5 linked regions of the Nothobranchius furzeri genome follow. The protein of the gene in region 1 interacts with the protein of each later gene in a pairwise test. Links are inferred from orthologs where the notes say so. Each region holds a gene or a part of one and is shown in the gene's direction. Other genes may lie near its edges.

The links.
Region 2: the proteins of AP-1 complex subunit beta-1 (region 1) and nucleoporin p54 interact in binary tests that used the Homo sapiens proteins (3 or more experiments, as listed by UniProt). The two-hybrid records come from large-scale screens. The link is inferred for Nothobranchius furzeri from reciprocal best matches to the Homo sapiens genes AP2B1 and NUP54.
Region 3: the proteins of AP-1 complex subunit beta-1 (region 1) and thap1 interact in binary tests that used the Homo sapiens proteins (3 or more experiments, as listed by UniProt). The two-hybrid records come from large-scale screens. The link is inferred for Nothobranchius furzeri from reciprocal best matches to the Homo sapiens genes AP2B1 and THAP1.
Region 4: the proteins of AP-1 complex subunit beta-1 (region 1) and pom121 interact in binary tests that used the Homo sapiens proteins (3 or more experiments, as listed by UniProt). The two-hybrid records come from large-scale screens. The link is inferred for Nothobranchius furzeri from reciprocal best matches to the Homo sapiens genes AP2B1 and POM121.
Region 5: the proteins of AP-1 complex subunit beta-1 (region 1) and neu4 interact in binary tests that used the Homo sapiens proteins (3 or more experiments, as listed by UniProt). The two-hybrid records come from large-scale screens. The link is inferred for Nothobranchius furzeri from reciprocal best matches to the Homo sapiens genes AP2B1 and NEU4.

Annotation. Positions count from the first base shown.
Region 1 is NC_091750.1:66,891,475-66,896,464, forward strand, and holds the start of AP-1 complex subunit beta-1, read left to right. Parts: upstream 1-1,671; 5' UTR 1,672-1,802; intron 1,803-4,712; 5' UTR 4,713-4,730; coding exon 4,731-4,767; intron 4,768-4,893; exon of another isoform or gene 4,894-4,895; coding exon 4,896-4,990. Other genes in the region: tectonic-like complex member MKS1, read left to right, coding at 157-239, 483-580, 1,153-1,256. UniProt on the Homo sapiens protein: Component of the adaptor protein complex 2 (AP-2). Adaptor protein complexes function in protein transport via transport vesicles in different membrane traffic pathways.
Region 2 is NC_091746.1:59,724,541-59,729,583, forward strand, and holds the start of nucleoporin p54, read left to right. Parts: upstream 1-1,760; 5' UTR 1,761-1,973; coding exon 1,974-2,016; intron 2,017-2,431; coding exon 2,432-2,539; intron 2,540-2,687; coding exon 2,688-2,768; intron 2,769-2,916; coding exon 2,917-3,081; intron 3,082-3,445; coding exon 3,446-3,532; intron 3,533-4,449; coding exon 4,450-4,596; intron 4,597-5,043. UniProt on the Homo sapiens protein: Component of the nuclear pore complex, a complex required for the trafficking across the nuclear membrane.
Region 3 is NC_091746.1:71,096,785-71,101,599, reverse strand, and holds the start of thap1 (THAP domain-containing protein 1), read left to right. Parts: upstream 1-1,532; 5' UTR 1,533-1,647; coding exon 1,648-1,718; intron 1,719-3,460; exon of another isoform or gene 3,461-3,593; coding exon of another isoform or gene 3,594-3,595; intron 3,596-4,224; coding exon 4,225-4,417; intron 4,418-4,536; coding exon 4,537-4,815. UniProt on the Homo sapiens protein: DNA-binding transcription regulator that regulates endothelial cell proliferation and G1/S cell-cycle progression.
Region 4 is NC_091750.1:52,614,540-52,619,615, reverse strand, and holds the start of pom121 (nuclear envelope pore membrane protein POM 121), read left to right. Parts: upstream 1-1,793; 5' UTR 1,794-1,926; coding exon 1,927-2,492; intron 2,493-2,972; coding exon 2,973-3,179; intron 3,180-3,336; coding exon 3,337-3,486; intron 3,487-3,579; coding exon 3,580-3,660; intron 3,661-3,745; coding exon 3,746-3,917; intron 3,918-3,999; coding exon 4,000-4,088; intron 4,089-4,167; coding exon 4,168-4,247; intron 4,248-4,345; coding exon 4,346-4,467; intron 4,468-4,540; coding exon 4,541-4,640; intron 4,641-4,767; coding exon 4,768-5,034; intron 5,035-5,076. Other genes in the region: polyubiquitin-C, read left to right, coding at 1-513. UniProt on the Homo sapiens protein: Essential component of the nuclear pore complex (NPC). The repeat-containing domain may be involved in anchoring components of the pore complex to the pore membrane. When overexpressed in cells induces the formation of cytoplasmic annulate lamellae (AL).
Region 5 is NC_091753.1:42,144,205-42,149,117, reverse strand, and holds neu4 (sialidase-4), read left to right. Parts: upstream 1-1,752; 5' UTR 1,753-1,967; coding exon 1,968-2,168; intron 2,169-2,287; coding exon 2,288-2,543; intron 2,544-2,817; coding exon 2,818-3,761; 3' UTR 3,762-3,930; downstream 3,931-4,913. UniProt on the Homo sapiens protein: Exo-alpha-sialidase that catalyzes the hydrolytic cleavage of the terminal sialic acid (N-acetylneuraminic acid, Neu5Ac) of a glycan moiety in the catabolism of glycolipids, glycoproteins and oligosacharides.

The DNA of each region.
Region 1 (4,990 bases):
AGGTTTAATGGGTGAAACATGATGTTTTAAAAATATACATTGTGGTAGTTGTAGCATTATTTCGTTATCACCAAGTTAACTGTGTATACCTGAGCAAGCAAGTAAATTAATGCATTATTATGATTCTTAATCTGGTACAATGGTGTCTGGTTTCAGGGAGACAGGCTGAGTCGCTTGGGCTTCTGCAGTCTAACCTCAGGAAGTGTCACATTTAATCTGAACTGCATCCAACAAGCCAGGTAAAGACCAGTTTAATCAACAAGCAGCTGTTTCTGATTTTCTCCCTGACAGCTTAACAGTTTATATGGAATGAATAAAACATCAGAAGTGAGATTTACTCTCTGCACTGCATGCAAAACACTATTTCTTAATGCAAATGCAAGTGTTCCATTTACAAATTTCACAAAGATCTGTATTATTAATGCAAATTGTTTCATCTTTACTTTTAAAAAGTGTTTACTGTTCGCTTCTGGTTGTTTCAGGGCCTTTGTTGACGCTGCCATTCAGAAAAAGAGGAGGCAGAAAGTCATCGACCAGCTGGGAGGATTTAGTCAGCAGGGAGATGTTTGCAATGTTCTGGGTAAACATACTCACACAGTATTTGCATCAGGGTTTAAAAGACTTTCACTTCCTGTTTGCTGCTGAGTGTATCCTTGTTTGTGTGAGCTGTGAGTTCTGTGTGTGTGGTTAAGTGAAAAAGTTTACTGTAATCAGGCTCTGAATGTTCCACCATTTATTATTTTTACCATGAAATGATTTTATGATAGCGGGAGTGAAAATTAGCATAATGCCACCAGTTAGCCTCTGTCAGCGAGCGTCAGGGCAGCTGTGGCTACATCGTAGCTCATCACCATCAGTGTGTAAATGTGTGTGTGAATGGATGAATGATACACTGTAGTGTACAGCGCTTTGGAGTCCTTACTCTGAGAGGCGCTATACAATTATGGGTCATTTATCATTTAGATTCTCGTTATTTCAAACCACTGGAAGATGGATTTGTTAGGACACTCACAAAATGTTATGGACTGTATACCAAGCCTTGCATTGCAGCTTGATTGCCCAAAGTAGACAAAAATGTAGAAAGAACAGGGAATTTTTCTGCAGGGTTAATTTAATTTGTATTTTCTGTTTGTTTGTTTTATTTCCCTTCAGAGGCCTTTCAAAGAGCATACAAAAAGCTACAAGAGGCCAGAGAAACGTTCCCACAAAAAGCCATCAACTCTACTTCCCAACTCGAGCTGGAATTTTCTGCATAAAAACCAAAAACACACTAAAACTGACATTTCAAGATGCATTTAGGATCCTGCACAAGCTTCCAAAACTGAAAAGTTTGTCTCAAGTCATCTTCTGTTCTTCTCAGACTGTAACTGACATTTTATTGACAAATGTTATTAACTTAAAAAATCATCAGAAACGATTTATTACACCAACATTAGGAGATGGAGCATAACACTTGTCTAATAAATGTACTATAATACCAGCAGTTTTTTTTTACAAAATTCAAGGTACTGTTTTCTTTTATTATTTATTTTACTGTTTATTTTTCTTATCTGAAATAAAGGTTAACTAAATAAAAATTAAATATGCAATGAAGTGGTATATTTTCCCCATTTTTAAAACAAAACAAATGGACTGAAACCCGCATTATCTGACTGCGGGTTGTCCTCCAACGTAGCATTCGTTTTAGCTCCAAAGGGAAGTAGTCCAATTTTCCATGACTGTAAACGCACCATTCTCCATCTTCCTCCAACCAGGGAAAGGACCGTTCAGCGATTTTCCCTCTCAGTTTCACACACGACCAGGTACTTAAGTACACATATTTCACGTTAATTTTGCAATCGTGTAATTTTTTGATGTGTAAATTGTGTGTCTTAGTCAATGTATGGCTGCTTTAGCGTATCTCTAGTAGGCATGTAGCGATGGGAACTGGGCCGCTGGTCGCTTTTCTCTTTTTTGTGTCAGATTTAGCCTAATGCTCAAACGAAAACTGAAATCGGTTTTCTGAAACTAAAACCCTGGTGGTTATTTAGATTCACTGTTTGGGGCTGTTTACTGCGGAATGAGTGTTGATGCTTTTTTTCGTACATAGCCGTTAAGCTAACCAATGTTAGCTAAGGGGAATTATGTATTAAGTTGATGTTTCTGGATTAAAAGTGTCACGCCCTGAAACAGTGAACTGTCTCGACTAGTGCCTGTGGGATTATCGTAAATATTTAATAGAGGTGTACAGTTTGAGGCAAATAGTTGCTTAAATGTCTCTGAAGCCATAACGTATATTTGGCAACGGGCTCCTCATTGAAACGCTCGCGAGCCACCAGCGTCATAAACAAACAGAACAAGGTCAAATCTGATGTCGGATCACTTATGTGTCCTGCAGATTTTTACAAAAAGCCTGCAAATTTTTTCAAAAAGTCTAACAGATCTTATGGAAACACACGCCTAAGGACTTTTTTAATGATTGTGTGAATGTTTTGTATTTGTTGAGGCAAAAATAAAATAATTCAAATGCAGCTCATGTGAATCATTTCTTCCTGCAGCAAGGATTTACTTACAAATCTAGCTGCTGTGAATTGTTGTAGCCCTTTTAAATGAGGTTAGAAATAAACGCCAAGGATGATAACATTTAGAGGCCAACCAATATATCGGCCGATATTTTCTATCTTTTCTATGTAGGACGAAATTATTTTTAAAAGCAGATTTAAGAAAAAATTAAATAAATCGGGCACCTGTATGACCAACTGCCACTACTACTAGACTGAAGAAAGGACCCAACACACCGTTTTTTAAAGAGCAAGTCACCCCCAAATCAATTTTTTATGTTTTCTGATATAAATGTGAGTCATCATGCTGCAGACACGTGTAGTCGAAAGTTTAGCGCTTTAGTGCATTTTAGTTACAATTATAACTTTCGGCCTATAACTGTCAGTGTTGTGCCGTTGTCAGGTAAAAACTCTGCACTGCATTTGAATTTAAATCTGCCATCACTATTGGCTAAGAGGTACCCTAAAATGTTAGCTGGTACCATATGATGTTACAATGTTGTTGTGAGCCTGTGTGTGTGTATTTGTTAGCGGCTCCACCCTCGGTCTGCTAGGCAACTGCATTTGTTGCATATTTCAAACAGGAAGTGGGAGTGGAGTAACGCCGGGGACACACCGGCCGCGGAAGCGCCGAGAAGCGAATCGCTCACGAAATTCGGCCGCTGCTCGCCGCTCCTCAGTTCAGATCAGACGCGCTCCAGTCGAGGCGCGCCTCGGCTCAGCTGTAGTTTTTCTTTTAAACACTTGGTGTCCTCCATTTCCTCTCTGCCTTTTCTCAGCTCTTTTCCTCTACGTTTGAGTGTGTGTGTGTGTGTGTGAACCTATGGTATGAGTTGTTTCTGTCTGTTGAATCTCTTGGAACCCGCTCCAATTCTGCAGCTGTATCCTAGCAGTTTCTTCCGAAATGGGTTCGTAAATAACCATGTTTTTCGGGGGTCGTACAGCTCCTTGTGTTTCTCAACTTCCATAATTAATTTAAAGTCATCCATCTTAACTGCTTGCCTCAGACTTTCTGCCTCTCTGTCCTGTTTGCTCCGGTGAAAAGACACCCAAAACCACACCCCCTTCACGTGCTCACACACGCACACAAGTTCAATGTGTGTGTATGTCTGTGTGTGTTCGTGTGGTTTTTCTGCAGTGTCTGATTACGAACACATTTGACTATTGCGGAATTTTATTTTGAAATGCTTTATTTTGTTAACTTTACCGGCCTGCCTCTTATGTCTAGGTTTGACTTCCTGCCAGAATTGACGCGATTCACTCGCGGCTTGCGAAAAAAATAGAGCCGACGCCGAAATGATCGCTGCACGGCGTGGGCTGGAGCGCCGGCGCGCGCCGGCCCGAGGCGATTCGCGGCGCTTCAGCGGCTCATGTGGTCTATAGAATAGTTTAACAAGGGCGCCGAATGAAGGCGGTCCCATTTTTGCGGCGCTTCCGCGGCCGGTGTGTCCCCGGCGTAATACTCTGGTAGGGGGTGACCTGTTCTTTAATGTTTTGAGTTTGTTTTGTATTTGAAGTTGAATAAAAATAGATTTATTGACCTATTTAATTTATATTGCACATAGTGAGTGTTCAGTTGTCTTTCACAATAAATGTGCTGCTAAAACACGTATATATCGGCCTTAATAATTGGCTTTAAATGTCGGCGATCAGCAACAAAATTCTTTAAAAATATGCATCGGCCTTAAAAAAACCATATCGGTCGGTCTCTCATAACATTTGTACATTAAACCAATCTTTTCTTTACAGACTAAACTCATAATGCCAGATTCCTTTATTTTTGTTTGCCCTGATCCCCTTAGTAAAGCTTAAGGAGGCCTTGCCTCAGGATTTAAGGTGGTTCTTCATGATGTTAGAAAGCAACCATGCTAACAATTCTTCTATTACAAGTTGGAACATGCAGGTGTTTTGCACCAAACACTATGAAATGATTCATATCATTATCTGGGTTAACATTCTAGAAGTTTTCTTATGTATGCATATACCAACATGCATTAGACGCCATTCCAAATTGCTGTATATTGTTTGAATTTTAATGATGACATGATCATTAATGCAATGCAGATCAGAGTGAATGATGATGACAGTAAAAATCAAAAGATTTGAGATTTATTAACTGTCCGTCTTTTGGAAAACAAATGATGCCGTTTTCCCTATTGATGTTGTTTGCAGGCTTAAAGGGCCAGAATCATGACAGACTCCAAATATTTCACCACAAACAAAAAAGGTGAGTTGGGAAATGTTATAGAAATGGGCCAAAATTGAGTAAGAAAACCCTAAAATTCCACAGATTATTTCCACTTGATAGTACATTCATGCTGTTCAGCCATTTACTCTCTATGGTTCATTTTTCAGGGGAGATCTTTGAGCTGAAGGCAGAGCTGAACAATGAGAAGAAGGAGAAGAGAAAAGAGGCAGTGAAGAAGGTCATCGCTGCCATGACTGTGGGC
Region 2 (5,043 bases), on another chromosome or scaffold:
AAATAGTTGTTACAGCCTATAATCCATCTACTCTACAGTGCATACAGATAACAAACAAAAACAGAGTGACACTTGTGTGTTTTTTCTCTTTGCATTGGGGAAAATGTTGATTTTTCAGTCACATTTCATGATTTCTAAAAGAAAACGCTGTGGAATGATTCAAGTGAAACTGTGATGAGCCCAGCTTTTTTATCCTGCTCTTTTACTTTGTTGTAACGTTTCTAAGAGTATTTAGTTCTGTTATTTCACCCCATCTCACAATGTACACAATGGAACAACCACAATGTACATAACAGATAATACTTAGATTTTTGTTCCTTCTTTGTTTAATTGTACAACATTAAAATACACCGAAGTCGTAGAGGTTTTATAGTGAAGGAGATTAGAATTAATGAGCGGGTGGACTAATAGATAACTAGTTTCTGATGTAACAAACAGTATTATTCAACATTAGTCCAGTTCTGTTGAAGGAGGTTAAATTATGTTGTTACACTGATCAAACCAAAACACTGAAAGCACCACGTAGATGTTACACTGGGCTACTTTGTGCCAAATGCTGATTAGATACAATCTCTGTGAATTGATTGTTACTGCTACAAACACGTGTCCTGAGTGTCTGCTTGCTATGAAATGTTGCATCTTGTTGTTTTTACTCTGTACACAAAATAAAAAAGTAGTTTCAGTAGTTCTGTGTTTGCCTCTGAGTTTGGTGAATAAGATGTGAGTGCAGAGGGAATTAAAATACAGGAGATTAGCTGCAGACACGGGAGCAAGGATGAAACCTCCAAAATCTGTAACTTTGACAAGCGTTACGATAAGTTTCAAGTTTACATAATATTCTATTCGTTTTTATTTGTAAATATCTTTGCCATACTTGCATAGCAGCAGCAAATATAAATTCACCCATACATGGACTTAGTTTTTTTTTTGGAGGGGGGAGGGGGAAGATGTCCCCCCACTTTTTCAAAAGTCAATTTTTGTCCCCTGCACTTTTTACCATCCACAAACAATATTACGCTACATTAAATTGGCACTGGTTGAGCACTAGGACCAAGCGGAAAACACCTGCTTGTGTTGAAGCCTGTTTCTCGTTAGAACTGTCTATAAGCTCATCTGTTGGCTCTACTAATACTTGAAAAGATGGCAAGCTATATAAATGAATGAGTCTTGTCTTTTGTAAAACAATTCAGAATATTTTTTATTTCATGTGTGTATGTTTGCATTCATGTAATAGCCCAGAAATCTAGATCGACTGTAGCACAAGCAAAAGGATATAGGGTGGCTTGCTAATTCTTTTGTACTCAAACTAAACTCATGAATGATTCTGTGTTACCAAAGGTAATTTATAATAAAATGTATGTATAGTTTGTATGGATAATAATAATAATAATAATAATAATAATAATAATAATATACGGTTCATGGCTCTTCAAGGACTAATAAACCTCAAAAGCTTCTAATAATTGGAGATTCCCTTTATATTATTTAGAATGTAAGCACTTCCTCTAATACTTTATTTTCTTGTGCTTATTTTTATGTATGCTCATTCATTGAAATATGACTGTTTTCTTTTTTCGAACATAATAGCTCGTCGTGTTTTTATTTGTACTATAAAGTTGATCAAATTAAAGCTGAACAATGTTAAAATCCGGACACTAGGTGGCGGAAGAGCGTTGCTTTGTTGAAGTATGAACAGTCTATGAGTATGAACGATGTGTTGAGAAATACAGAAACGATTAGACTAACTCTAGTTTCAGCGCCTTTGGCTTCCTGACAGGGTCGTGGAAGGCGCTTTATAATTAAAGCTTTGATTGATTGATTATGTAGGAAAACGCACACATGTGTACTAACCAGTCCACACTCCGTGCCAGTTGGTGGCAGTAATGTGGCACGACGTTGGTCGCCAACTGGCATAAAACATCAAACAGGAGAAGAAGAAAAGAAGCGACGAAGAAGAACTGACATTCGCCAACATGGCGTTTAGTTTTGGCGGCGCCACGAGCAATACAGAAGCAAGTATGGACTTTAGTTACCTCTACTTTGTATTCTTTCTCTTAGCGAAAGCTGTGTCGGATATGTGTCATAAACCAGACGCCACAAGGATATGAACGCATTACTAGCATATGTAGTTAGTACGTGTCGCAAGCTAACTGCTGTTGAAGCATCATGTAATCTCACAATCCGGCCAATGCAGCAAACTTCAGTGGGTTGTGTTCCACGTTTTAAGTTAAAGTCATAACTAGTTTGTTACGTATTCAGATGCGGGACAGATTACTTGGTCATCTACCTTTAGCAGTAAAGCCTCCCCATGTTAGCGTCATGCTACGAATCAGCTACTAGTTAGCTACTGTATGAAGTTTTCAGAAAAGCATCGAAGGATACAGTAGAGATGTAATCCAACATTTAAAGACTCGTTTATGTTCTTTTAAAGGCGCGCCCGGGTTCTCATTCGGCGCATTTGGTGCCAAGACGACGGCATCAACCACGTTTGGATTCAACCCCACGGCCACCACGACCACCGCTTCTTCAGGGTTTGGCAGTAAGTCACGCTCCTGACCCACATTCAAGAGGTCTTCTGTGTTTTGTTTTGGCTTTCATTCGTGTGTGTGTGTGTGTGTGTGTGTGTGTGTGTGTGTGTGTGTGTGTGTGTGTGTGTGTGTGTGTGTGTGTGTGTGTGTGTGAAAAAGCTCTAACAGCTCCTGGTTTTGGGACTGTCACCTCCACTTCTGCACCCGCTACAGGATTTAGCTTTGGCTCCACCAACACGGGTAGGACAAACATTAGTTTTAAAGCGCGTTTCATTCGTTTTGTTGATTTTTAGACGATTAACTCACTGAAGAGCTGGTGCCAAATGTAGCATTGTGTCATTTAACTCCGTGTTACTTTCTTCTTGCTGCCTGCCTGCTTCGGCTACAGGATTTGGGGGGCTTGGAGCTGGAAGCACCATGGCTGGCGGGTTTAGTTTTGGGGGGTTTGGTTTAAATGCCAACCCAGCAGCAATCAGCTTTAATGCAGGGTGCTTTGGTACAGCAACCACTACTGGCACTATTTTCAATTTTGGTAATAGCCTGACTAGCACAGGTAGATGATCTCTGTGATCGAGTTCATTTTGTGTTTGCAAAAATCGTTTGTGTCCACCTCCATGTGATGCAGTGTTTTTCTTTCTCCATCTCACCTGGTGACTCTTATACATCTATGTTCTGAAGTTTCACTGTTTTTGCATGAAAGACTGTGTTAAACTATGCTCTCATCTTGTGTGATGATGAATGTGGACATTCAGTACATTTTTTGCAGAACATCATGTTTGATGGATGTCATTTGATCATTGCCAGAAATACTTTTCTGCTACTCACCATGCACCCAGTGATTTCCAACTCTTGTTCTCTCATCTCCTTTCCCTTTAACTCCTTTCATTGGAGGGATTATTCTTTGATTTCCTTTCCAGGTACATTTGGTGGCTTTGGGGCAACGACAACAACAGCTGCTGCACCGGGGTCCACTTTCAGCTTTACTACCCCCTCCAATACAACAGGTTAGTAACAGAGTAACCTCTGTGAGTACACATTTAGAGCAAAATAAATATTAAAGCTGTGCGTGGCGACATTAGGAAGAATTTGGACTAACTTGAATATAAAAAATATATATTGATGGAACCACCCCCCAGCTTTACATGTTACTCTGAAGGTGCTGGTGAATACTGCTACTAGTAGTCAAAGTGGTGATTGACCGTTAGAGGTCTCATGCCTTTACAAGATATTTTTACTGAGACCCTGCTGATTCTCCAGAGCAGGTTAGGTTTCCAGTTTGGGAATTGCATGAGATGACACTTCTCGTCTGCTAATCAGTAATGGTGAGCAGATTCACCATTTAATCAATCGATTGCACTGTGACACTTGCCAATTCAATAACAATTTATAAATATATAAAAAAAATATATAATGAAATGCCTAAAAACAGCTGCTAAGCACGGCAGGAACATAAAAGTTGCACGTACCATTCGTACACTTTAGGGGACGGACCAGCGGAAATGTAATAAACAGCAGTAGAGAGCCTAAGCCACGCCCATTTACTTCCAGTCCGGTCTACTTCCAGCGTGTGAATGACTGTTCTTCGTGGAAGCACTTTCGAGTCCTCTGACACAGAAATGCCAATTACCATTTCAGTTTATTTACTATAAAATCACAAATGAATGTTTAAGAACATGTGTAAGATGCAGGTGATGTCCTATTAACACCAGTTCAAGTTACTATTTTATCCCAAATAAACAACCAAAACAGCAGGTTCTATGATGCTATATTCTTGTTCTAGCATGAACACTGAGCTGCTACAAGATGTCTCACTTTACCAAAACACGGGGCTCTCCTTGTTGCTGTGTTCCTTCTGCAGAGCTGACAGCATCTTTTCTTTTTTGGGTTTTAATTTGTTGCTTTTGAATGCGTTTTGTCTTAGGAGGCCTGTTTGGGAACACAGCCAACAAAGGGTTTGGATTCCCAGCAGGACTGGGAACCGGTACCGCTACTGGAACATCAGGGTTTGGAACTGGATTAGGAGCAACTGGATTTGGAGGTTTTAACATCCAGCCGACGCAGCAGCAAGGTGAGCGCCTCCTTTTCCAAGTGAGTGTTTACCTGCAGAAATCAGGAGATTATTATTGTACCAAGTCTGTTTCTGTACATGAATAAATCCAGTTTCAGACAGTATCTATTAGGGGTGCACAATATATGGGCATCATTAGTGGTATCGGTCAATATAGGTAATTTTTTTTTATCATATCTGTATTGGTCCGATGGGCTGGGCAATATAACTATAGCTATATATATATATATAAATAAATTATATATTGAAATAACTTCCTCGATAGACTCATGAGTACGAGTCGATAGAAACCAACATAAAGAACAGATGAACAGCCGAACATATTAAGTGTTGCTCCATTCTGGACCAATCAGTGGCTGGAAAAGCGTGGCATGAAGCCCCTGGCATTTTGGCTCCTAGGACAATCTAACCCCTCCACCATGATAATGTGCCAGCCCACAGACGTTT
Region 3 (4,815 bases), on another chromosome or scaffold:
CAATAAAGAAAAAAGCAGAATTTGGGTAAAAATAAATAAATGCATTTGAAGCAGATTTATTGTCTTGTGTTTGGAGCAGAGATTAGATTATTTAATTAGAACGGGGCTAGCTCTGGTGTCCAGGGATGGTTGTGTCCTCTGCGCAGTAGTACCTGGTAGTGATGTGTCGGTCGCGAACGAACCGGCTCTAAGAGCCGACTCTTTGAAGTGAACGATGGGAGCCCTCCCCCTCCCCCCCTGCCTTGGTGAAAGCTGCAGGTGATTGGTCAACATGTGTAACTGCGTGTCCAGACTGTCCACACACAGAGCAGTAGGGGCGGAGAAGAGGGAGGATCAGACTCAGACACACAGCAGAGCACATGCGGGCGGAGGGAGGCGAGCGGGAATGAGGAGGAGGAAAAAGGCAGAGAGAGGAGAGTGCGACGAAGACGGTGAGAAAATTAGCGCCAGCAGTCGGAAAGTGGAGATTTCTTAAAGTGTTCAGTTATTAAATCCATAGAAATGATAAATATTTGATACACAGCATTTTTTTACATTAGTAAATCATTTTACAAATAGTTTTGCATTATTTTGGTTATAAATGTATTCTGCGCAAAAGAAAATCTGAGGAGCCACTTGGGAGCCGAAAGAGCCGGCTCTTTTTGGTGAGCTGAGCCATTCCCATCACTAGTACCAGGACCAGAGTGAATAGGGTGTGTGTGTGTGTGTGTGTGTGTGTGTGTGTGTGTGTAAGCATGAGGGATGCATGTACGTCAGGTGGGGTCTTGGACTCCTCTCCTCTGCTGAGACATCTTGAGGTGTTACGACATCTTCGCGTACCCTCCTGCCACTTGTTCTACCGGTGGGCGGTGCCTCGGTCTGCCTGCATATCTAAATGCACTATGAATTATTATGGTATGCTTCCCAGCATAAGCAGTTACTGTTATATATCCTCATGCTGTTGGAGCAGCGATGTTTTGTCTTGTTGTATTTTTGTGTGTCTCCTTTTCACGCTCTCTCTCTCTCTCTCTCTCTCTCTCTCTCTCTCTCTCTCTCTCTCTCTCTCTCTCTCTCTCTCCAGAAGCTGATTCTTCTTCATCATTTATTATTTATATAATTCATCCTCCCTCACCTCTTCCTTCACTCTCCCCCTTTCTCTCACAGCTGTCTCTGTGTCCGAAAGTGTTGCTAATAAAGTTTTGGTGTCAGCAGTGGCTACGGCAGAAGCTGTGAGCTCCACCTGAGAGAATAAAGCTGCAAGGCTCGTCTTCAGCAGTCAGACATCAGTTCTGGTTGCTTCACAGCCGGACAGGACACGGTAAAAAGACAACAAAAGGATATTTGTATGAAATCAAGTGATAGTTATTAAAAGCATTCAAAGAAAAGATGTTTTTTGTCCAACTGCTCTTCTGTGACTATTTTATTTTATCCTTTACTTATTTTATTTTTATTTTTTTTATCTGCAACGATTTATAATAAAAAAAATTCTAACAAGTTTCGCTTCACACACTAAAATGACAGTTACCAGGAAGAGAGGCCAATCAGGGGGCAGAACGCGGGTCAGGTGACCCTGTCTCCGCCGCCATGTTTGTTATTGGCAGTGAAGCCTGATCGGACTGACGGCAACGAGGTTTGGCGGAGGTTCGGTTCGTTTTCTGGGATGAAACAATGGTCCAGACGTGCTCAGCCTATGGCTGTAAGAACCGGTACCACAAAGACAAAGATGTCTCCTTCCACAAGTAAGTTCGGCTCCGGTGTTTCTGCGCCGACTCTCGTTAGCCCGCCCGAGCTTCGGTCCGGTCTCAGAAACAGCCTCGTTCAGTCACAGCAGTCTATTCATTCATGTTTTCGTGCTGAATGAAGCAGAAGTCCGAGCAGCGGCCTCACAGAGGAACCACCTGTTCAACAGGTGTCCAGGTGTTGTAGTCCCATTAGTCTGACATGTTGGAGCAAAACCAGAGCAGCTAGTGGTTAGGACCAGTTTATTCTACAAACACAGAAACACCTCCAGTTGTCCAGACTGGTGGAGCATAAAACCAGGTGTGGCGAGGCCTCAGGCTAGATGTGGAGGGGCATCAGAGCAGGTGTGGAGCAGCAGCAGCCAAGTGAGGAGGAGCATAAAACCAGGTGTGGAGAGAACTCAGGCCAGGTGTGGAGGAGCGTCGGCGCAGGTGTGTTTCACACTTCCTGGTGTTTAGATAAACATTCAGTACTTCAGTAAAGTTGCTGTAATTAATGCGGCGTCATCGGGTCACGTGGAGAAACTCAGGTTTTTATTAAAAGTCGTTTATTTTATCGCTGGAATCATTTTGGATTTTTTCACTAAAATCTTCATCATTCTGCTTTCTCACAGATCAGCTACAGAGGCTGGTTCTGGCTCGGGTTCTGGTTCCTCCAGAACTCATCAGTCACTTTGTCTGAGTTGACGTTTGTTCATTTTCATCACCACCACCGTGCTTTGCTCTGATGGAGTGAGAACATGTCCTCCTTCCGGTGGAGGTCATGACCTCCATGCTAATCATCTCTGGCTGTAGAGACGGTCTGGATTTGTCCTCAGAACCAGAACCAGACCAAAGCTCCGTCATCCTCTCCTGATCTAGAGCAGACTGGACTCACAGGATGGGTCCTTTTTAGTCCACTGGACCTGGTTTCTTTTCTCAGCCTCTGATGGTTTGGGTTCCTGACGGTTCTTGAAGACGTTTCGGATCTTCTCGTGTTTCTACCTGCAGCCGTCGGTTTTACTGAGCCCAGTTGTGTTTAGAAGTAGAAGTGATGAGGTAGTTCTGTTTCACCTGTCTTCAGTGTTGGGAGTAACGACGTTTAAATATAACGGCGTTGCTAACGGCGTTCTTTTTTAGGTAACGGAATAATTTAATTGATTACTTTTCCCACTGCTGCAACGCCGTTACCGTTACCACGTGCTTGTCGAACGTTGAGCAGCAGCGTGAGGCTTTCTGACCGCCACACTTCAGCTGCAGCCAGGGAGAGAGAGGTGTCGGTAACGCACTTACAAACACGATGGTGATTGGCCGGGTGGGCGGAGACCCTCACGGTCTCAGTCGCTGCATTCTGTAGACACAACAGAGCAGTGATGGGAATAACGCCGTTTAAAATAACCGCGTTAATAAAAAAAAAGTGTTCCTGTAACGAGCAAACTAATTAATTACCGTCTTCTTTTATCAAAACGTCATTTCTGTTACTGATAAGGAAATGCGTGCGTTAAGCAGCGCGGTGTGTTGAAGCTGTCATCAGCTGATCAGGAGCTAAAGAGGTAGATGTTTTCATCCAAGAGCATCACGGACCGTGAAGAACGAGGAAGACGTGATGAATGATTCGCTGCTGCAGTAGCGAATCTGTGGGTCTGCAGCCGTGCTCTTAGCGTGACAGCGGGACGTCCCGAAGGTCCGCTCACCTGTTCACCTCTCAGACGTCCTGATCTTCTACCTTCCTAGATCATCCAGCTGTAACCTGTTTCTGATCATGTCTTTAGTCCCGCTGTAACACTGATGCATCAGTCTCAGACGTCATGGAGCTCAGGTGTTATCAGAACTACCTGTGTGTGTTTACCACCCAGCTTCAGCTCTTCTGTGGTTGGGTCTGACCCAAGTTAGTAAATGTAAGTCCTCCATCAGGCTTGTGCCTCTTCTAGTGTCATTTTAAAGGATTTTATTTATTTATTTAACCGTTACTAGATTACCTGCAACAGAAATGCTACTAAAAACACACAATTATGTGAAGCTGGAAAAATTAAAATACCGTAGAAAATTACATTTATTTCTGTAATTTAACTAGACTGAGAGACCATTTAAAGGCTCGGGAACCTTTACAGGTGTTTCTATTTGCAATTTTAAATGTTAGCTGATTGGGTTTTTGTTAAATATCACACAGAGACCTTTTAATAGTCTAGATAAGTGTAATGTTCCTATTAGTAGTTCCTCCTGTTAAGTGCTTATTTATTTAAATTATTCAGGTTTTATTATGTTCCAGTCATTAGTCATTTATATTTCACTATTATAGTAATTCTTGCATTCTTTAATGAAAAAAGTAACTAAGTAGTTATTTTTCTTGGTAATTAGTTACTTTTATAATCTTGTAACTGAGTTACTTTTTTTGACAAAGTAATCAGTAACTATAACTAATTGCTTTTTAAAGTAACGTTCCCAACACTGCCTGTCTTCATCTGAATGACGTTCCTGTGAGGACTTCACTTCCCCAGCTGTTGTACCATTTGACGTGTTTTCCCAGGTTTCCTTTGGCCCGTCCAGATGTTTGTGGGAAATGGGTCGCTGCCATGAGGAGGAACAACTTCAAACCCACCAAGTACAGCAACATCTGCTCCCAGCATTTCACCAAAGACTGCTTCAAGAGGGAGTGCAACAACCGGGTTCTCAAGGAGAACGCCGTCCCGTCGCTGTTCACCTTTACCCTCAGCATGAAGGTCAGAGTCCCAGTGTGGTTCTGGTTCTGGATGTGAATGTTTTGGGCCCTGAAGGCTTTAACCCTGAGACTCTGAAGTGTGGTTTAAAATCCCAAATCTGTCTGGTTTCTGTCCTGCAGGCCGAATCTTTGGAAGACCCGTTTCCCCCAGAGATCCACTTACCTCTCTCTCTGCCTCTGACCTCTGACCCGACCCTGGAGGAAGAGGAGGAGCCTGACAGGAGCGCCGCCGATGCCCAAAGCGACACAGCGGTGGTCTCCTGCGATCACAACTACACGGCGGAGGACTCGGCGCAGCAGAAGAAGCGCATTGAGCAGCTGGAGGAGCAGGTGGAGCTGCTGAGGAAGAAGCTGAAGACCACGCAGCAGAAGTGTCGTCGTCAAGAGCGACAGCTGAAG
Region 4 (5,076 bases), about 14 Mb from region 1:
AACATTCAGAAGGAGTCCACCCTCCACCTTGTCCTGCGTCTGAGGGGTGGAATGCAGATCTTTGTCAAGACCCTCACAGGAAAGACCATCACCCTGGAGGTCGAGCCAAGTGACACTATTGAGAATGTCAAAGCTAAGATCCAGGACAAGGAAGGCATCCCCCCAGATCAGCAGAGGCTGATCTTTGCTGGCAAGCAGCTTGAAGATGGCCGCACCCTCTCAGACTACAACATTCAGAAGGAGTCCACCCTCCACCTTGTCCTGCGTCTGAGGGGTGGAATGCAGATCTTTGTCAAGACCCTCACAGGAAAGACCATCACCCTGGAGGTCGAGCCAAGTGACACCATTGAGAATGTCAAAGCTAAGATCCAGGACAAGGAAGGCATCCCCCCAGATCAGCAGAGGCTGATCTTTGCTGGCAAGCAGCTTGAAGATGGCCGCACCCTCTCAGACTACAACATTCAGAAGGAGTCCACCCTCCACCTTGTCCTGCGTCTGAGGGGTGGGCAGTAAAGTCATGGTTCCACAGTTGGTTTCATTTGCCATGTAATGCTTGGAAATTAAAAGTTACATTTGTTTTTAACTTGTGACCAAAAATGTTCCGTTATCACAATAAAAGGTTAAATTTGCTTTTGCTTTCATTTGAAATGTTTTACAAAAATTGTTCAGCAGTTTCCCCTGAAGCCAATTAAACAGACTTCTAAAAGTTGCAGAATAGACCAATTTTAGATGGCAACATGTAAACGGTGTTAACAAAAAAAAATCTGCCACAATTGCCTTCAAAATTAAATCTCAAACTTAATTCCAAATCCCACTAGATCTCCACACTAACAGCTCATAAATATCAAATGCATGTAAAACTTAATGTTAGCATATTTTGAGGGCAGATCTGAGCTTTCAGAAGGAAGTATATGTATTTGTGGTTACAGCAAATAATTCAGACTTATCTATCTTTGAAATTGTTTCACAAGCAGGGAAGAGTCATCAAAACATGTTTGTGAAACCTAACGTTTAATTTAAAGCGAAGGTTACAATACTGGGATAAAGATGGAGCATTACCCTTGTCTTGGCATCAATGCACTGCTACCTGCTTGCTTTAGTATCCAGTATAAGGTACTTTAAAATCTATGCATGGCCTTAGGGCCTTACTCAACATTACTTTTGAGCTGCTGCTGTTCTACTCCTGTGGGTCTAAGGTCAGCTGATGAGATGGATGCTCCTGGAAGTCCCAAGAATGAGACCTAGCCTCTGAGGTGGGGGCTTTTAGTGTAGTCTGGAATGTGCTGCCTTTAAATATTAGGTTGGCATCATCGCTGTCTTGTTTTAAATCTCTTTTGAAACCCCTTTTTTATGGCTTTTAACTCCGCATGAGTCTTTTACTTTTAAGAGTAACATCTAAATTAACTTTTTTGTCTGTAGATGTGTAATCAGTGTGGCAATTTGGTGCAACTTTAAATTTAATTTCGGCCCAAAACTTTATATCTCCATCTTCAGGTTAAAAACTGCTCCACATTTATTTAGAATCAGCCACAGCTGATGGCTAAGCTGAAAAACGTGACATTGTCAGCAAATCACCACGTGGCTGCAGTGCACTGGTCTCCAGCTGAGGTAGCCGCACCTCCACCTGGCTCAACCACTCACCTGCCGATGTGACAAGTTGGCGCTCGGAGCCGCTTGCCCCATGCCTCCTTGAAAAAAACGCCCTCCTCTCCTTTTTCATCTAATGATCGCGGTTAACAGGAAACCCTCCAGAATGCTGCAGAATCTGAGTCTGCTATTTCCCTGAGCGGTAAGTCTGCTGTGAGTGTGTGCTTGCGTGCATAGGCGAGTGTGCACGGTGACGTGTGGATTGATGGTGTAGTTCGCTCCTGTGCTCGGTAGGGAGCGCTGCCGCGCGAGCAGTTGGATAGAGCAGCAGCATGTTGAATGCGAGAGAGGCGGCGCGCTACCGCCATGTCACCTAGGGAGAAACAGTTAGCGCTTCTCTCTGTTTTAGGATTAATCACCTTCGCTTTTTACTACATCCCCACTTTTCTGTACGCTACTTTAATTTTTGCAGCTTGTTGTTTTGCTTTTTATTATCACAGCGGAGAATCGTTTCCCGCCAGGTTAGGCCCGAATCCTCGGGTTGGATTAAACGTTTCGGGCGTGCTGCGGCGCTGGTCGTCGGGTTGGACAGCGACCGGCGTCTCGGTGGCCGCGCGGAGTAGAACGAAGAACCGCAACCGATCCGAGCACCATCACCGGGAGACAGAGGGACTCCCGAAGCTCAGTAAAACCGGGCTCTGTCGAGGAGAAGCCTTAGCAAGTGACTCGATTCTTTTCAGCCCTCGGGATTTTCTCATGGGGAGTTACATCGGGAAAGCCGAAAGTCCAGCGGCCGTCTCTGGGAGGCCAAAAGCCGGGAGAAATCCCCGGGAGCAACTGCGAGAACAACTGTCCAGACCCAACCATGCAGTTTATACCCCGAACAGGAGGCTTTCGTTCTCTGGGTGAGTTAATTAGGTTTATTAAGCTCTGATCCATCTGTTTAAATTCACGTGTTGCATGAAAAAGAAATGTTTATAGCGTTAGCTAGCTTGTTAGCACACAAAACCCACATGTTTGAAACGTATAAAGCTCTAACCAGAACTCTTTAACTTGGAATCGTTTTAAAAACATCCAATAACTTTGTTTCATTGGCTTCTTTTACTCATGCTTTTAGCTAAGTTACTGTGATAAATCTTTTGTTTTGATGGCTTGTTGTGTCTACACGCTTGTGTTGTCTAAAAACTAACAGAGCATTTTACTAACTTTTCGTTAAAGTGCATATCTTTACTTTTTGGTTAGGATGAGCAGCATAGTTTCTTTTTCTATGCAGCTGCATGTTTCACATGTAAAGTGATTGTTTTATATTGTTTTATTTCTATTCCATAACATCTGTACGTTTTAACCTGCTGAAGTTGTTCCTTCCATTACAATCTCCTCTGCAGGGAGCCTCTGGGTGCAGCTAACAGGTTCACCATCACCCCCCAGCGTCGCTACCCCCTTCAGCAGCCTGGAGTCTCCTCAGTAGGAGTCCTGCCTCCTGTCAAGTGGGATGGTTTCAGAAAAAAGAACATCCTGAGTCCTCGAAATTCCCCTGCTGCTCTCAGTCCCGTCACTGTAAAGATCGCCAGGCCCGACCACAACATTCCCAGGTCTCTGCAGGTTAAATGTTTTTGGGCACGACCGTTTATTTTTAATTTTTAATTTTTTGTCTTTTAATTTACTATTTGGATAGCCCTTGATTTGTTGCTTGAGGTCTTGCTACTTTCAGCCGAATCAGTGCTGACTGTCCTCTGCTCTGGTTTTTAGTGTGAATCATCTGAGTTGTGCAGGGCTCACCAGGGTCCCGGCAGACCCCTGCTCCAGAGAGAGCGTCCTCAAGGTGTTGAAGGAAAGCCGCAAGAGGGAAGTAGAGGATGAGGACAGGAGCTTCACCGCTGAGCAAAGAAGCAAAAGAAGGTAGAAAATTTGTTTAATAGATTCTTGAGGTACTGTCTGCTCAGTCTGGACAATAGCAGCTGTCTTATGGTTTCTTTTTATGGCTTTTCTTAGGCGCAATGACAGCGGTGGAAGTTCGCACTCTGCTTTTGAGCCTCTGTTGCCTAATGGAGCACCATCCCAGCTGGTCCCTAAGTGAGTAAGAATTGTATGTAAAGCTGAATCATAATCTTAGATGTTGGACAAAGCTTTAAATGTTGTTTTTATTAATGTTCTCCAGACCAGGGAGCCTAAAAAGAGGGATGACCGCATCCTTAGACGAGACCACCATGAAGAGGTCTCGCACCTCCTCCATCAGCTCTAGTTCTGGAGTTCATGCCCCGAGAGGAACTTCGGGTACCAGAAGAAATGCAATCCAAAGCTCCTACAGCTCTTCGATAGGTTTTAGTCAGGTATCTTCATCTACCGGAGTCTAGTAAAGGGGGTTTTTGCATAGCAAAAGCAAATCGAAGCATTTTTTGTTTTTCTTTACAGTGGAAGAAACCATCTGCACCCAGCTCTCCTCTATCGAGCCCTGAATCGTCTCGCTCTCAGACTCCAGAGGGATTTGCCAAAAGACCCAGGTCTGTTTCTGCATGTTTGTCATCATTAAACCACATTTAACTACAAATTAAAGCTTTTTTTATGTTTTCTAATCAACAGAGAGGATGACACTCAGTCTCCAAGCTCTGCATCCTCAGTGAAGTCGGACCACACTGCATCAGACAAGACCCTTGATACCAGTAATTCCCATTTATCTGTAGATGACTTTTCCAATTTAGATGATTCATGTTCAAAGTATGGTCACAAACAAATATGATGTTGTTTCATAATATTGCAGTAAAACAAACTCCGGTGATCAAATCCCCAGTCACAACCTCTGCAGACTCGACTGGAAGTGGTGGGAAGAGAAAACGGAAGATCCAGCTGGTGTCCAGCCACCGAGATGATCGCATCTCTCTGGTGAGGAGCGCTGATCTCCCTCACATTTGTTTATTTGCATCCAGATTGCATTATTGTGGTTGTTCATGTGCAGCCTCCACCTCCTGAGCTGGGCTACACCATCACAGCCAAAGATCTAGACGAAGAGAAAAAAGCTGCTATCAGTAAAATCCAAAAAGTCCTGGAAACAACTGGTAAGAAAAAGCCAGCTGCAGGAATAAATTCACATTTTTTATACTTGCAGCCTTGAACACCTTATAAATTATCCCATAAGCAGGTTTTTCAGTAAAAACTACTTCTTCTGTATGTGTTTGTCTTCAGCTCCAGTGCCAGAGAAACCTGCATCTCTTGCAGCCACCACTTCCTCTCAGCCTGCTGCCTCCGTTAGCTCCAGCTCCACTCTGAGCAGCCTTCTGGCAGCTCCGCTTCCCACAGTAACCAGCTCCACCATTCCTGTCATCAACTTGGATCTGAGTCCAGGCAGCAGCATCAGCTCGGCTCCTGCTAGCACCAGCTCACTGCTGGAAACTCTCAAGATGAAGTCAGTTACTCCAGCTAGTTCAACATCAGCTCCCAGTGCAACCACAGGTGCGATCTCTGAACAGAGAAAGTTGATGGTGTTGTTTCCCT
Region 5 (4,913 bases), on another chromosome or scaffold:
GCTCACAGAGTATTTAGGAGGGGAGGTAATGAAAATTGGAAATGGAAAGAACATCAGTTCTCCATAAACCGGCCACAGTCAGGTGCACTACATAAGATTCTTTTACGAGGAGTCCAAAGAACAATCAGGAAAGTTCTCCAAGAGTTAAGAACAACCGGAGCAGAACTTCAGGAAGACCTTGCATCAGCAGGCACAGTTGTTTTTCGAAAGGAAACTATATGCAAGGCACTGAACCATCATGGCATCCATGCATGCTCACCACACAAGACTCTATTGCTGAACAAAAAGGCTTGTTGAGTCTCGGTTAATGTTAGTGAAACAGCATTTGGAGAAGCCTGTGGAATACTGGGAGACTATAATATAAATTTGGCTCTCATTCTGCACCATGTTTGAAGAAAAAATGGCACTGCCCACCTCCCATATCAACAGTTAAGTTTGGGGGTGGAAGCATCATGATGTGGGGCTGCTTTTCAGCAAGGGGTACTGGCAGGCTTCAAATTATTAAAGGCAAAATGAATGGAGAAAAGTACCGGGACATTCTGGAATAAAATCTACTGCCACCTACCAGCTAAAAACAGACAAAGGGTGGTTCATTTGTTGTGAGATGATGATCCCAAACACAAGGCCAAGGGAACAATGAATTGGTTTCAAAGGGAAAAAAAATCAAGTTGCTTGAATGGCCCAGTCAATCACCTGACCCAAATCCCATAGAAAATCAAAAGAGAACTGAAGATCAAAGTTCATAAAAGAGGCCAAAGGAACCTTTAAGATTTAAAGATCGTTTGTGTAGAAAAATGGGCCAGAATCACTCCTGTGCAATGCAGACAACTGGTCTCTCCATACAAGAGGCGTCTAGAAGCTGTAATCACCAAAACACACACACACACACAACCATCCATTGACTTCCATTTCATTGTGACTGTATAATGCCTATGCATAACCAGTGCTGCTGTATTCCTAACCCTAACCTCAACAAAAACTTCATTCCCACCATACCTCTAAAACCAACTGGTAAGCTCTCTAAAATAGCGAGGACCGCACTCATTCCCTCTGTTGGTTTAAAATCTCATGATGGTCCTCAGTACGTAGTAAGTACAAGAACACACACACAAGGCTCTGAGAGAAGAGACGTGCTTTACACATTAAAACGAAACGTACGTTGTGCTGAAAATGAAAATATGAAATCAGAGAGGCGGAGCATCACATCATTGTTCAGCACCCCCCACCAGACCTGCTTTTCTAACAATGGCTGCTCTCTGCTGATTCATTCAAAGCCTTGGATCTGAGGGGTGTTCATTTCTGGGTCAGTGCACAGGATGCCACACTGAATAGTGAACAGAGATTCTCACTACACTCACTGACTACACACATACATCATACTGTGAGCCTCTGAACCAGGAGCTCACACGCAACCGGTGTATCCTCGAAAAGCAGCAGCGGTTCTCTCAGAGATCTGAGACAGCAAGGGTTCTCCTGTTTGTGACACTTTGAAGTGTTGAATCCTCCCAGTGCTGTTAAACTGGGAAGTTACTGGTCAGAAAACAAATGAAAATATTCCAGTAAACGGGTGGAAGAGATCATTCTCTGACTGGTAAGATCATTTACTTTATTCAAACTCAAACTGAGCTCAGTGCAGCGACATTGGTTTGACTGCTGATCTGTTGATTTTTGTCACAGAGTGGTTGCTCAGATGGTGAAAGATTTAGACAAAAATCTTTGTGTAAAAAGCTAAAATACAGACAAGTTTATAGTGAAGTAGCATAGAACCTGATTTTCAAATTAATTTCTGCCATTTAGTATTTCTGATGTGTTTCATAACTTAAATTTTCATGATCACAATAGTTACTGCTCCTATTCATAAAGAAATGCCTTTACTGTTTTTTCTCTTTGTCTTTTGTCCTTAGTTGTGTTTGAGAAAACTTCCTGATTTTGTGTCACTGGATTCAGATTCAGTCCCAACAAAGAGGATGAGGTCGCCTTACTTCCCAGCGAGAACGGTGCTCTTCCACAAGGAGCCTAACGGAGTGACGTACCGAGTCCCAGCCCTGATCTACGTGTCCCGGTTCAGGACTTTTCTGGCTTTCTGTGAGGAGAGACTCAGCCCGTCTGACTCCCAGGCTCACCTGCTCATCATGAGGAAAGGAACTTTCTACAGGAACTACGTGGAGGTCACTGACCTGTCATTCTGGGTTTTTTTTATATCATACAAAAACATTTGTTTAGAAATCGTTTGAATTGATTACTGTTGGCTTTAACTGTAATTCTTTACATTTTTATTCTGTTTCAGTGGGAGGACATGCGAGTTCTGGGTACCGCCTTTCTGCCGGGTCACAGGTCCATGAACCCGTGTCCCGTGTACGATGAGTTCACAGGGACACTTTTACTGTTCTTCATCGCTGTTCTGGGTAACACCTCAGAGTCCTACCAGCTGGTGACGGGGAACAACGTGACCCGACTCTGCTTCATCTCCAGTACTGACGGGGGTGACTCCTGGAGTCCAGTCACCGACCTCACCAAGGCAGTCATCGGAGACACCATCAAAGGTCACCGAACCCAGACAAACCTTAACCCTAGATGAAAACTACACCGTCAAGTTGCACTTCAGGTTTATTTGATCAGATCCAATAACTTATAAAATATCCAAAATAATAAATAAAATAACATATCAGAAATAACAGCAGGTAGGTCAACAAAATGAATGCATTTTAAATTAAATAATGTTAAAGATCTGGTTCATCTGATAAGAATAACAGGAAGAAGCTTTCAGAATAATTGGATGACACTGATTGGTCCCCTTTATTTCCTCCCTCCTGACAGAATGGGCTACGTTTGCTCTGGGTCCGGGTCATGGCATCCAGCTAAAGTCGGGTCGTCTTCTGATTCCTGCCTACTCCTACCACATTGACTGTAAGGAGTGCTTCGGACAGCTTTGCCAGACCACTCCGCATTCATTCTGCTTCCACAGCGACACCCACGGGAGGAGCTGGCGTTTCGGCGAGGCTATTCCGGCTCCAGAGAGTGTGGAATGTCAGATGGTGTCCGTGGATGAAGAGGATGGCACCAACGTGCTGTACTGTAATGCACGCAGCCCTCTGGGATACAGGGTGCAGGCCCTGAGTCTGGATGATGGAGCTGTGTTTCAGGAGGGGCAGCTAGTGCATCGGCTGGTGGAGCCTAGAAACGGTTGTCATGGTAGCATTGTTGGATTTCCTGCTCCTTTGCATCTACAGCAAACTCTACAGCATCCCACAGGTCACTCCAGGCACTGGACGTCATTCCTGGACTCCAACAAAACGACAGAATCATCTTCAAACATCACACCTCATCATGATGCTCATCCAGACTTCCTGACCCCTACATGGGTGGTATATTCCCACCCAACTTGGGCCACAGCACGTAAGGATCTAGGTGTGTTCCTCAGCCTGTTTCCTCGTGATCCAGACAGCTGGCGGGGCCCCTGGGTGATCTACGAGGGTCCCAGCGCATACTCAGACCTGACCTACCTGGAGCTGTCCCCCTCGCCTGGGGCACCGCCGGCTGTGGCCTTCGCCTGCCTCTTCGAGTGTGGCTCTAAAACCGCCTACGATGAAATCTGCTTTAGTATCTTCACCCTGCATGAGTTGATTGATAATTTGCCCGGGGCTGTGCAGCATTTGGGTGAGACGGGATGCAAACGCGAGACCCCAGGAACAACAGTCCAATGGGAACCTCGAGTGAAGAGGAGGAGGAGAAAGCTCATGAAGACGTGCTCTATCTCTTGAAGAGTTAAATGTTTATTCTCTTTTTTTTAATCACCAAGCTGGGTTTGCTTGTCAACTATATTAAGTTCTGTAGAACTTCCTGTTAAATATAGGTAGGAAAGATGTTTAATGTAAGTTTTGTAGTTTTTTTTAAATAGATTTTAATTGTAAAGATTTAATTTTGACATTTCATGTGTGGAGTTTTTATTTCTTCTTGTGAAAATGCTCAGAGAATTAATTTAAATAAGAATACAAATCATTGCTGGTTTGCAAGAGGAACTAATTCAGAGGTGTCTCTAATCAACACACCTGATTTTAATCAGTTGGTGCTTAACAAGCTTCATCTGATGACCTAGCCTAGTGAACCAGACCAAATTCTTGCTTTGCAAAGTTTGCAAGTAATACATTTATTTAGTCTGGCTTGCCAGGCTACTGATGACCTGCTGAACAGGTAAATTAATTGGTGAATCAGGTGTGTTGGAGCAGGAAAAAAACTTTTTTGAAGCAGGACAGTGGTAGCCTGGCAAGCCAGACTAAATAAAGGTATTATTTAGTCTGGCCACGCTCCATTGACGGCTCTCGGTTGTGGGGCGGGTTCTACCGTTGTCTTTCAAATGATCTCCACATTCCACTGGACAATGAATATGACATACTCTTGTTTCACTCTGTTGCATCATCCCACCCACCAGGCATATAGAGTGCCCTGATTGGCCCACAAAGCGGATAAAGCTCTGTGATTTGTTCACTAAGCAGATAGAGCACTATGATTGGCCCACCATTATGGACCAATCACAGCTCTTTATGTGTTTGAAACCCCTCTAGAGAGCTGTGATTGGCTAGCCAGAGTCCTGGTAGGAGCTGTGGAGGTTCCAATGGAGCGTGCCTAGACCAAACTTTGCAAAGCAAGAATTTGGTCTAGTTCACTAGGCTAGGACAGTGGCCATCCGGGACCAGGATTGGACACCAGTGTTGTATAATCTTGCTTTTTAAATAAAGTTTTAAATAAAACTAGTCAAGCTTTTGATTAAAGGAAATGTTTATTTGGATTGTTTTCATTATTTGTTAATATTTTACACACCTAATCACCAGAGTGTTAAACTAAACTTTTATTTATACAAATATTAATCCTAAATTATTATAAACAGAGGCAACCCCAAGGGGTAGCAATGGGGG